Rattus norvegicus: one gene and its partners. The protein of the gene in region 3 interacts with the protein of the main gene of each other region in a pairwise test. Links are inferred from orthologs where the notes say so. Each region holds a gene or a part of one and is shown on either strand. Other genes may lie near its edges.

Evidence for each region.
Region 1: the proteins of Prmt2 (region 3) and Hnrnpul1 interact in a two-hybrid assay, tested with the Homo sapiens proteins (2 studies listed by BioGRID and IntAct). The link is inferred for Rattus norvegicus from reciprocal best matches to the Homo sapiens genes PRMT2 and HNRNPUL1.
Region 2: the proteins of Prmt2 (region 3) and Fip1l1 interact in a two-hybrid assay, tested with the Homo sapiens proteins (2 studies listed by BioGRID and IntAct). The link is inferred for Rattus norvegicus from reciprocal best matches to the Homo sapiens genes PRMT2 and FIP1L1.

The regions. Positions count from the first base shown.
Region 1 is NC_086019.1:90,387,535-90,391,901, forward strand, and holds the start of Hnrnpul1 (heterogeneous nuclear ribonucleoprotein U-like protein 1), read right to left. Parts: upstream 2,837-4,367; 5' UTR 2,748-2,836; coding exon 2,453-2,747; intron 1-2,452.
Region 2 is NC_086032.1:34,026,935-34,031,242, forward strand, and holds the start of Fip1l1 (pre-mRNA 3'-end-processing factor FIP1), read right to left. Parts: upstream 2,820-4,308; 5' UTR 2,693-2,819; coding exon 2,611-2,692; intron 1,564-2,610; coding exon 1,519-1,563; intron 1,431-1,518; coding exon 1,391-1,430; intron 1-1,390.
Region 3 is NC_086038.1:12,400,767-12,404,353, reverse strand, and holds part of Prmt2 (protein arginine N-methyltransferase 2), read right to left. Parts: intron 710-3,587; coding exon 584-709; intron 1-583. UniProt on the Homo sapiens protein: Arginine methyltransferase that methylates the guanidino nitrogens of arginyl residues in proteins such as STAT3, FBL, histone H4. Acts as a coactivator (with NCOA2) of the androgen receptor (AR)-mediated transactivation.

The DNA of each region.
Region 1 (4,367 bases), on a different chromosome or scaffold from region 3:
CATAGTCCAAGGCTCAGTGATGACATCAGAGAACACTCCTGGGGAAGAATAATGTCTCATGTGAAAAGCTTAGAAGCAGGACACAGCAGAAACAAAGAGAGAACATTATGAACTTAGGATGGACAGCATACAGCTCTGCCCCTGGGGTAAGCCTGCTGATGGGTGCCTCCAGAGCCTTGCTAGAAGCTGTGCCAGGAGCAGCGAGGCAGAACCACAGGGAAGGAGACTGTTCTGCCACTTGTTAACTGGATTCTTTCTCAGAGGACAAATACATCTGGGCACAAACCAGGTGCAGCCCAAAGGGAGGAAAGCAAGAAGTCATGTGGCTTGCTATATACAGTATCTGTTTACCAAGAATGAAGTACTCAGAGGGAACCTGAAGGAGGGCTTAGAGGATTTTGCTGGGGTATAGGGGATGACAATGATGTTAAGGGATAGAGTATCTCCTTAACTGGAATATAAGGCCTCTTCAAACTATTCTGTTTCCTTCAGTCTCAAGACAATGTCTTCCCCAAGAAAGCCGGTATCTTTCCCCTAACGGGATAGGCTGGCCTAGAAAGGGTATGATGCTGGGTCCTTTTCCACTCCCTACCACATTACCCTAATGACAGGCAACCTTGGTATGAAGCCCTTTAGACACACAATCTCATGACTATCAACTCTAGGAGGATAATCTTACCATCCCACTGTACATGGACACCAGGTTCAGAGGGGGAATGATTTGCTTAATTCAAAGTTTGCCTGAGTCTACAGTTGTTCTGAAGCATCCAACTCGCTTTCCCAAGACTCTTCTGCTAAAAGCAAGGTTAAGAGCAGCATCCTCTCGGCTCTTTCACAAGTCTATTTGCCAGGCTCCTCAGCTCTGGATAAATTCACAAGCCACGCCTCCCTTCTTAGCAGGGAATTGTCTGTGGAAGACTTGCCAGCACATGGGTAATCCCTAACACCACAACCATCTATATCTAAGGTGGCCCCTCCACAGGATCCCACTCCTTATGAACAAGTGAGTACCAGATGCCAATCCCAAGTCTCTTTTGAAGACTCATTTTTTAACTCTTTTTGCTGTTTAGTCCCAAGCCCTACAGTGCCTTCTCAGAAAAACACCCTAAGTTTTGGATGCCACAGTGTCTAGTTCCAGGTTTCCTCTCATATCAGGGTTTTCTGTACTGCCCTTTCATGCCAATCCTACCTCTTATACAGACACTTTGAGCTGATCAAGTTCCCCCAAATCTCCTGAGCATCCCATCTCCCTGGGCACACAAGTAACTATTTCTGGGGACTCGGGAGCCCTCTCCTGGAAAGGAATACTCCCTCGGCTTCATCATGAGGCCCCCAGCCAAAGCAACAGGTTTCCTTTCTTTTTAATCCTCTCTGCTTCCTCCCCCACATCTGCTAGACCAGCTACATGATCTCTGGCAGACAAGGGTCCTCTGCCCACCACACAGTTCATGCACTTGCTACTCCTGCTTTGAAAACTATCTATAGTTAACAATGCAAGGCCATTCAGCAGAAACCAGAGTATTGTCCCAAGAGTTTTCCCAATTCTGGACCCTCTAGCTTCTTTGTCCATTAAATACTCTGTCCTTTCTTGTCACCATTTAGATCCCAAAGCTCTCGTGCCTCCTCTGGACACCTGGGTCTCCAGGTACCAAATATACAAGTTGTATCTGCCCTCGAGGTTGACCCTGTAACTGAAAATATACGAGTAGCAGGTAGAGGTTTCCAAATCTTCTGCTGGTCTTTCATTATTCCCTAAATGCTCACCTGCAAAACACTGGAGCGTTCAGTTCATGTTTTGGGGGACTCTTCCCAGCCGGGGACACCAGTAAGTCCAAAGCACCAATCCACCCCCAGCACTAAGCAGATCTCCCACCCGTGAGGAAAATCATAGATCTTCTATCCTTAAAATTCTTCCAGTCCTGCACCCTTGGCCATTCTTCCACTACCTGAAAATCCGGCTTTTGAGACCCAGACCCAGATCAAGTGGTGGATTAGCACGGCTACCCAAGCTGTCAGCTCAAAGCTCAGCTAGAATCTTCCATTTTCCAAGAAGTCAACCCCCGACACCCCTTTCTCTAAAGCATCTAGTTCTTCTGACTTTTCCCAACTCAAAAACAGAATCCCAAAACTGTTTCCGGTCTTCGAATCCCAGGATATAAAGTCCTCCGGGGTCCTCCCGCTCGTACCCTAGTCGTCTTAAAACAAAATCCACCCCCCACCCCTACACACACACACAGACACAACACACACGATTTCCCTTGCACCGAAGGCCAGGATCCGCCCTCAGGCTGCCCCGAGGCCCTGGCCGCAGACCCTTTACAGCGGCAGGTGCCGGGATCCCTGGATCCTCAGACCATCTCCTGGATCTCTGTGGAGTCAAGCTCCCGCGTCCCACATCCCGTCCTCGGCCCGGACTCCAGGCTCCCCGGTCCCCCGCCCCGCGCACTCTCACAATGTCCGTCCGGCCCCGAGTAGCCGCCGGGCTCCGGGTGCGGCTGCAGCCCGGGCGGCGGTGGCTGCGCGGTCCCCTCCAGCTCGGAGCCCCCCTCGGTCTCGACCTCCTCGTTGTTGTGCCCAGGTAACCCCGGTTCGTCGTCAGCCTCGAGCTCCCGTTCGTCTTCGGGCTCCTCGGCCTCTAGCGCCGCCAGCAACCGCTCAGCAAGCTCGGCCTTCAGGCCGCGAGTGTCCAGGCCGCGGCGCTGCAGCTCCTCGCGAAGTTCGTTCACCTTCAGGCGACGCACATCCATGGCCCGGGCCCCCGGGGCGGCCCCCGAGCCCGGCCCGGCCTCCCAGGGCTCTGTCCCCCCTAAACCTTGCCTGTCAGGAGGCGAAGGGGGAGAAGGGGGGGGCCACTCCAATGGCGGCGGCGCTCAAAATGGCCGCCGCCGCCTCCTCCCCCTTGCCCGTACAGTACGACGTAAAACGAGTCTCAATTGGTCAGCGCATGGGGCAACGGGCGCGGGCCCGAGAACCAAGCCAATCACAGTGTGGCTTTCAAAGAACGGTAGTAAGAGGGCTCAGGAGCTGCCTAAGAGGAAGCGTTAGCCTACGTTGAAGTCGCGGCCAAAGCGGAGGGCGGGAAAAGGCAAGAGGCGGAGCAAGCACTGATTGGGTAGCGTCCGCGCGCCAGCTGCGGTACAGTCAAATGAAGGAAAGGGAGCAACGACTTGGAGCAATTAGCAATGAGCTCTCAGAATGGCCGTCCAGTCTCTCTCCGAGCCGTCCTTCCCTCAGACTCTGTAAAACACATTCTAACTGGTCTTCATCTCACGCCCCTCGCGGAGGCCAAGCGGGTAAAATCACTACAACCAATCAAATGCGGCGGAAAGAGGTCGGCCAACCCTCGTCTTTCCTGTTGCCTTTCTGAAACCGGAAGTAGATTAATTCACCGAAGGCCCGCCCCTTGCCGTTAGGGCGGTTTCAAAACAACTTATTCGCCAATCGCAGTTACTGTTATATTTCACCCATAGCTATAGCTTGATCGCTTTAGGAAAAGCTAAATAGATTGGCCATTCTTGAGGCTTGCCTCGCAAAGTTCTCTGTACAGCAAGTCATAAAACGGAATAAAAATTAAGTGGATATGTTACACATCGTTTGTAGAAACCCGGTTGCCTTTATGAGAAACAATAACAACAAAAATTGGTTCTGGAGAGCGCTGAAGGGTTGAAAACAGGGGCTAGGCTAACAGCAAGAGAAAAGTTGTGCGGTAAATCGCATCCCTCCTTTTGATAGCACATCCTCCTAGGGCACGTTCTCTATGGTTGCTAGACAAGCCACTCTGCACACGACCATAGAGCCTTCCCGCTCTGGATACAAGCTGCAGGAAGTTCGAGGCTTTCCATCTCGAATCCTCTAAACCGTTCGCTCAGTCTTGCTGTGTCAACACTGACCAATTCGCACACTAGCATCCGTAATTACGACAGGTGTTGTTAATCCATACGCCTATCGCCCCTTGCTCAGAAGACAAAAACTTAGTGAAATAACACCGAGACGCACAATGCAAATGTGCATTGACACCCAAGCCATAGCCTTAACGCCCAATAAAAGCCACAAACACTCTCTACTTAGATATAGTTAAGCATCCCACAATAAACGAATAGGCGTGACAGGCCAAAAGTATCAATTCAGGATAAGACTTCAAACGGCAGTGTAGGTGTGGCACAAGCATGCAGCGTCGCGCGACAAAGCTCCGCTAGGACAGTTCACGCTACAAGCTTACACCACAGCAACCTAGACACGCGGCACCCACTCAGCAGCGGGACAGACACTCACGTGGACCCGAGGTTCCAGTCCAGACACCCCGCCCCTCGCCCACGTTGGACTTCCTCTCTCCTCCCAGCTGCCCACAATGATTTATTAAAAAAAGA
Region 2 (4,308 bases), on a different chromosome or scaffold from region 3:
TCTCTGATTTAAAGTGAGTAGGACTGCTTAATTAATTATTAACTGTTTAAACATTTGAGGAAGCTCCCAAGAGGAGACACCGCTTTACAATAGCAGCAGCAGTGTACAAACAGTCCAGGTTCTCCATATCTTCATTATAGCTCTTTTGCCTTTTGGTTTATAGCTATCATGCTTGGTATGAAGCATTAACCCCTCCACTTTGAAAATCTTAATATTCTTTAAATGTTTTGTATATATAATACATGTGGAAGCCAGAGACATCAGGTATCTTCCCAATCCCTCTTCTTCTTTCTTTTCTGAGACAGTCTCGGATTGAACCTGGAGTTTAACAGTATAGAGGAACTAGTGAGTACTAGAGATCATCCTGTCTAATCTCTCCTAGGATGTAGTCATTCATGTCCACATGCTTATGCCACATGCATGTCCCCAACTGAGCCATTTCTCCAGCCCTTAATTGCTCTAAGACCACTCCTCCCTCATTATTTCAGACAGTCACCTGATCAAACGCAAGCCAATTTAGCCATGTGCTTATATGCATTAGTTGTGGAATTTTGAGTGAATGTTTGGCTCCCTGGACACTGTAAAAATACTGTTTTGCATAATAACAACCAACTTAAAAAAATCTATTCTGTTCATGGTATAGTAGTAAGCATAGTTTCCTTCCAAAAAACTAGTTCCATTATGAATTTAAAATACAAAGCACTAAAGCCACGCCAAGCATAGGCACTGTGGCACATGCCTTTAATCTCAGCACTCTAGAGACAGACAGATGTCTTTGAGTTCAAGGCCAGCCTAGTCTACAAAGGGAATTCCAGGCCTGTCACTAAGAGCCTGTTTCTAAGAAAAGAAAAAAAAAAACTATACCAAAAGTAAAGGATACTATAAAAACACTAATAAATTATGAAAGCAACAACTTTCAGTTATTTTATTTCTTACAGAAAATTATTTTTTTTCTTAGTAATTTAACAACCATATTCAGCCAGGCGTAGTTGCTCTGCCTTTAATCCCAGCACTTGGGAGGCAGAGGCAGGTGGATCTCTGAGTTCAAGGCCAGCCTGGTCTACAAAGTGAGTTCCAGAACAGCCAGGGGTAGACACACTACACTGAGAACTTTGTCTTGAAAAACAAAACAAAAACCCAACTCCACTGTATATACTGCTAAGCCCAGTTAAGGGTGAAAGTTACTCAAGGGGGAGAGGTTGGCAAATAAATACCTAACTCCAAGAACCGTCCTATAAGCTGCTAGAAAGCAAGACAGAATTGATCCTGAAATAGGAAAGGTCCTTTAACCTTTGGTCAAAATGCAATCCCACCAAGGATTATAATAAAACTACTGACGGCATCCTAGAATCACCATCTGTGTAGGGCATCAACAGGAGAGTTCACCAACCTGGCATTTTCTTCTTCTGGCCTTTCAACTTCATTTTCATCTACCAAATAAAATAAAATAAAGTAAATGAGGAAACCAAGCTTAAGCAACAAGTAGAAAAATCTGAAGGGAAGAGCATGAGCACTAACCTAGATCCTTTGCCAAATCACTGTGCACATGCACGTCCCACGGGCCTGCGAGCATAGCCAAAGTTAGATCACTTTATAAACAAGACACATCTCTTATGGAAAAAAAAAAAAAACACGACTTTACTGCTATTAATGTAAACTTAATTTAAGAGGCGATGAGGATTTACACATCATCGTAAAAGAAACCTCACACTTTCACGTTTTAAGGGTAGTACCAATGCTGTCTTTCCATTATTAAAGACATAATCGACTTTACAATTTGATCGGAGTTACATCACTAAAAGGCTGCTTAGACTCCAACGTTCACTTTTATGTAATCTATGACAATTTATGTCAAGAATGTATGTTCTGGGAAATAACAAAATACTTTCAAATCTGGTGTAACAAAGAGCCAAGGCGGATTACGACTTAAACATCAAACATGTCCTCTACAAAAACAAAGTACATGATGCATTCAATTTGGGGACACAAATACAAAACACTGAATACAAGCCTACGGGAAGAGTCACGAGGTACAACTATGACGTGGACTATAGAGCAGTCTCTAAAAAAATAAATAAATAAAAACTTCACCTTAATACAGGAGACAACTCAGGGTTGACCATAGTGTATTCTCCACCTCTGTCTCTCTTAATTAATATTTTTAAAGCACGACTTTCAGACAAGGAGGTACCCTTGCAGGTGCATTCCATACAAACTGACCATCAAGAAACAAGACATTAGTTTAATAGCATTGACTTTATTTAGCTGTTATTACAGAATGACTGTTTCTGAAAGAAAGGGACGAGGAGGAGCACCCAATAGCAAGAGACACCGAAGCAGCTCAGGATCGATAGAAAGAGCATGAATAGAGAGCGCAGAAGCGAGGAGGCCGGGACGGTGGGGAGGAGGGCGAAGCAGGGCTGCCCGGCCTCCTTGGCCCGCGTCCACCGCGCGGTGAGTGCCTGCGGGTCCGGGCGAGGGCCCGGAGCAGGCCGCACTCGGCCTAACGCAGGCCTGCCAGGGCTAGTACGAGAGGCCTCGGACGCCCGGGCCTGAAACGCCGGGAGGAAGGCCAGAGAGAACCCGGGAGACAGACAGGAAGTTCCGTACCGCCATACAGCCACTCTTCCTCCTCATCCCCTCCGGTCCCGCCGCTCAGCTCCACCAGACGCTCCACCTCGCCGGCCGACATGGCCGCCCCTCGAACAAGTTAAAGGCGACGATCAACAGCCCCTTTCAACCCCTTCCCCAGCCTCGCCGTCTCAGGGCGCGAGAAGGGGAGGGAACCCGCTGGTAAGCGAACGAAGAGAGCGCGAGACTCAAATCCAGGGTCGACCTCGGCGGAGGCGGCGACCGTGAATATTCAGCAACTGGTCCGCCTGCGCATGCGCAGCAGTATCCAAGCGGCGCGGCGTCTCTAGGTGGATTCGCTTCCGCGGCGGCAAGCACCTGGGCCTCTCGCTGCGCAGGCGCCGCGCACTGGCTCCTCCCCCTCCCACCCCACCCCTAGGATTCCAGCTTTGCTTCTCGCAGTAGCTTTCTCTCTGCCTTCTGGTGTTCTTTGAAGTTCCCTTCCCCCAACCTTCCTTCCAATCCCAAGTTCCCTTTGCTACACCATTGTTCTTTTCTGTCCTTGCTTTTCTCCCTCCACTATTTGTTCGTTTTAAAATCCGGAAGGCCATCATCCCGCACGTGTTTGCTTGACCCACAATCATACTTGTCAATTCGTCCGAATTTTAACAACCAACAAAAGAAAAAATTAATATATACAGGATGCATTCTCTTTGTTTAAAAAATTATTAGTGTCCGGCATAGTGGAGTATGCCTTTAATTCCAGCACTTGGTAGGCAGAGACAGGTTACCTGGACTACTTAGTGAGTTTCAGGCTACATTGGGAGACTCTGTGGCCTGAAAGTTTTATTTATGTTAATGTAACTCAAACTGGTCATCTGAGTGGAGGGAACCTCAGTTGAAAAAATGCCTCCATAATATCAAGCTGTAGACAAACTTGCAGGGCGTTTTCTTAATTAGTGATTGATGGGGGAGAGCCGACCTTCTGACTAGATCGTGTGGGTTTTAATTCTTAGTTTTGCGCTCACTCTTGTTTGCTATGCCCTGTTCCCCTGTAGGAAATTCTCGTATTGTTTCAACTTTTAAGTACAATCTCCTCTGTAAAATCCTCCCTGTATTCAACCAACGCGTATGAAAGTCTGCCCAGTGTCAGAAACTCTTCAAGACTATATAGGTTGGGCAGTAAAAAAAAAAAAAAAAAAAAAAAAAAAAAAAATCTTTCTTTCACGAAGATTTTATTCTAATGGAAGAGCGACACATAGAATGCAGACCATCTTATTGATAATGATTTAAAAATAATAGTAGCTGAAAAAGACCTGAAGCCAAGTGATTAAAGGGGAGGAGGTGTTATATCAGGTGGTTAAAAAAAAATAGATCCCTACATGGAGAAGTTTCTGGATTGGGGCACTTGGCAAGGAGATTAGGAACAGGCAAAGAAGCAGAGACCTAGGAGTTCCAGGCACCAAACTGTATTTGGAATAGAGCAAGAGGCAGAATGTAGGTCAGCAGGATTGGGGGGTGGGGGAGGGGACTAGAGTAGAGCTAACTCTCTTTTAGACCACATGCTGCTGTGTTATTTGACTACGTAGCTTGTTCGTCTTTCCTTCCATCTGTTGTATGGTGCACCATATCTTTTTGGCCCTTGATACAAGAAACAGAAAGAAGGTTTACTGTGTGCTTGAGAGTACCGCAGGCAGGCACTCTCCGTGGTTAGCTCCATTTTACAGTTTCGTGCAT
Region 3 (3,587 bases):
AGTGCTGTGTGGGGACAGCCATGAGAAAGAACACAGCCTCATCCACATTCTTTTCTTAAAATTCTGTGTACTCGCCTGTGTGCGTGCGTACGTGTGTGTGTGTGAGTGCGTGAGTGCGTGTGTGTACATGTACATACATTTGCCACAGTATGTGTACTGAGGCCAGAGTGTTCTCTCTACCATGAAGGCTCCAGGGATCCAACTCAGGCTGTCAGCCAATACCCACTGAGCTATCTTGCCAGCCTTTACCTAACGCTTTTAAAATCAAAGGCAGGCAGCTAGCTATGTGTGTCTGATTCAGTTAGGAGACTCCACAGACGTGTTCCTACCAGACTCAAGAGCATAGGACGGTTTGATAGCCTCGCTGTTCTGGGACCAGGAGGGTTCTATACCAAGTTCTCCGAGCAGGGAGGTGTTTTCCTGAAGGGCATCTCTATACCCACCAGATAGGGCAGTGTGTTAGGATAAGAGGTGAACAGTCATGCGCGGGTCTCGTTTAATCTTGTGAACGTGAATTCCTGAATTCCGCTGCGAGGTATTCTGAGATTCCTTCAGTCAAGGTATGAGGAGCAAACACAGGTACCTGTGTCTCGTCGGTGGCGGTGTAATCTGCAATGGCTACGAACTCCTCGGGCTGCAGCTGCAGCTGCAACTGTGCCCCGTCCTGAAGGAGCTGCATCTCACAGCCATAGTCCACAGGGTCTTCCTCCTACCACCGCCAGGGACAGACAGAAAGACAACACTGTGAGCGCCTCTCTCTCTCTCTCTCTCTCTCTCTCTGAGCTTTGTTGTCCGTGTACGCGCCTCTCTCTCTCTCTCTCTCTCTCTCTCTCTCTCTCTGAGCTTTGTTGTCCGTGTACACATCTCTCTCTCTCTCTCTGAGCTTTGTTGTCCGTGTACGCGCCTCTCTCTCTCTCTCTCTCTCTCTCTCTCTCTCTCTCTCTCTGAGCTTTGTTGTCCGTGTACACATCTCTCTCTCTCTCTCTGAGCTTTGTTGTCCGTGTACGCGCCTCTGCCTCTCTCTCTCTCTCTCTCTCTGAGCTTTGTTGTCCGTGTACACATCTCTCTCTCTCTCTCTGAGCTTTGTTGTCCGTGTACGCGCCTCTGCCTCTCTCTCTCTCCCTCTCTCTCTCTCTCTCTCTCTCTGAGCTTTGTTGTCCGTGTACGCGCCTCTCTCTCTCTCTCTCTCTCTCTCTCTCTCTCTCTCTGAGCTTTGTTGTCCGTGTACACATCTCTCTCTCTCTCTCTGAGCTTTGTTGTCCGTGTACGTGCCCCTCTCTCTCTCTCTCTCTCTCTCTGAGCTTTGTTGTCCGTGTACACATCTCTCTCTCTCTCTCTGAGCTTTGTTGTCCGTGTACGTGCCTCTCTCTCTCTCTCTCTCTCTCTCTCTCTCTCTCTCTCTCTGAGCTTTGTTGTCCGTGTACACCGTGTACACATCTCTCTCTCTCTCTCTGAGCTTTGTTGTCCGTGTACGCGCCTCTGCCTCTCTCTCTCTCTCTCTCTCTCTCTCTCTCTCTCTCTCTCTCTCTCTGAGCTTTGTTGTCCGTGTACACATCTCTCTCTCTCTGAGCTTTGTTGTCCGTGTACGTGCCTCTCTCTCTCTCTCTCTCTCTCTCTCTCTCTCTCTCTCTCTCTCTCTCTCTCTCGATTGCTTCAGACATTCAAATGAGAAAGTATTTGTTATTCAAACAATCTGAACCACCGAGCGTTCTCACCTTTGGTCTACCTCTGTATCTCCGAGACAGGGTGACTTAGAGAAAATGTCTACGGGAGCAGGAAGAAGTGGGTGCTGGCCCTCAGCTTTATCAGCTTGCTTCCCAAGAGTGACACTCAACTAGTGACAGAGATACCACAGCTTGTCGGACTCCAGGGGTCTCTTCAGACCTAAGGCACCAGGCAGATAGAGCAAGAGCCTACGGAAGGTGCTGGAAACTGCTATAATCCTCCACCCTACTGCAAACAGAGCTCAAGCAGCCTGGCTGAGACTTTGCGAGTCTATGGCCTGTGCCCTATAGCCACCGTCTATCAGAGTAAACACGCCTTAAAGACATACTGGGGGTGGAAGTGACGGCTGGGTGATTAAGCGAGTCCTGGCTGTTCTCCCAGAGGATTCAAGTTCAATCCACTTGGCACCCACAATCATCTGAAACTCCAGTCCCAAGAGGTCTGACACCTTCTAGCCTCTGCAGGGACTGCACACAAACATGCACACATACAAGCAAAACATACACATAAAATAAAAAAATGAAAGATTTTTTAAAAACCAGTGACTTCAATACAACCAACAAAATCAAAACTACCTGAGAGATAATGTGTATCTTCTTCACGATACCTTAAACAAGGACACTAAAACCAGCAAACCATGCTTCCTTAGGACCCGAATGGTTATGGCCTTTAAATTTTACCACATTAACGCATTTCTGCCAACCCTAACTATAAGCAGTGTGGGGGCCTCGTAGCGCCACCTGCGTAATGCAGCTCAAGTCTTTTTTTAACACCACTTAATTTTTAAACTGCTTAGTCTCTAAACTTTCTTGGAAGTTACATGCTTTAAACAATGTAACCTCAAAAGCCCAGATGTACACATCTCCCCTCTCAAAACCTACTCTCCCTAAATGTGCTTAGAAAATGCACTAACTTGGGTTCGCTCTGACTCATCCAACCATTCTTTTCCTCGTTAGTCAAGAGTCTAGCTTTGCCTGAGTGGATGTACAGCCTGGAGAACAAAAACATCACATTTCCAGGCTAAGGAGATGGCTCAGCGGTTAAGAGCACGGGCTGCTCTTTCAGAGGTCCTGAGTTCAATTCCCAGCCACCACGTGGTATGTCACAACCGCCTGTAACTCCAGTTCCAGGGGATCTGACATATCTTCACATAGATATATACGCAGGCAAACACCAATGCACAGAAGTATTAAAGGAAAAAATTTCTGGTACCTGTGTAGTATTCCAGTCTATGAATTATCTGAGCTTACTTATCCAATCTCCTTTGTTGGAATATACACACTACTCCCAGCTTCTCCTGTTATCAATTATTAATTTCCTTGAACGCCAATCATCTTGCATGCACCTGAGAAGTTCCTGCGGATAAATTCTTAAAGTGTAAAGTTGGTCAAGGCTACCTTTCTCTTCTTGTCTGAGGGCGTTGTTTTGAGACAAGGGTCCGCTGTGTAGTTCTGGCTGGCCTAAAACACACTGTGTAGACCGGGCTGACCTCAAGTGCCAGCCTTCCCCTCCAAAGTGACAGGATTAGATGTGAGGACCACCACACTCTGCCCAAGACCATCACTTCTATGGCTTTTATTACAACGCTAAGGGCCCCCAGGACTGCACTAGGACTCAGTGAGATGGAGACTTGACCCACTGACCGTAAGTACAAAGGAGGCGTGTCCCTCGTTAACAGCAGGCGCTGATCCCTTCCTCTGTGCCCATCTGAAGGGTGCCAATTACTGTCCTGCATTTCCACTTGCCTGCCTTAGTGTGGCCATTCAGGATTCTCTGAGCATGTATCGGGCCTGTTTTAATTGCTAAGAGCCCATCTGTACTCCTGGCATTGCATCAGAGTAACGCGACTTGCCTTCATAGAG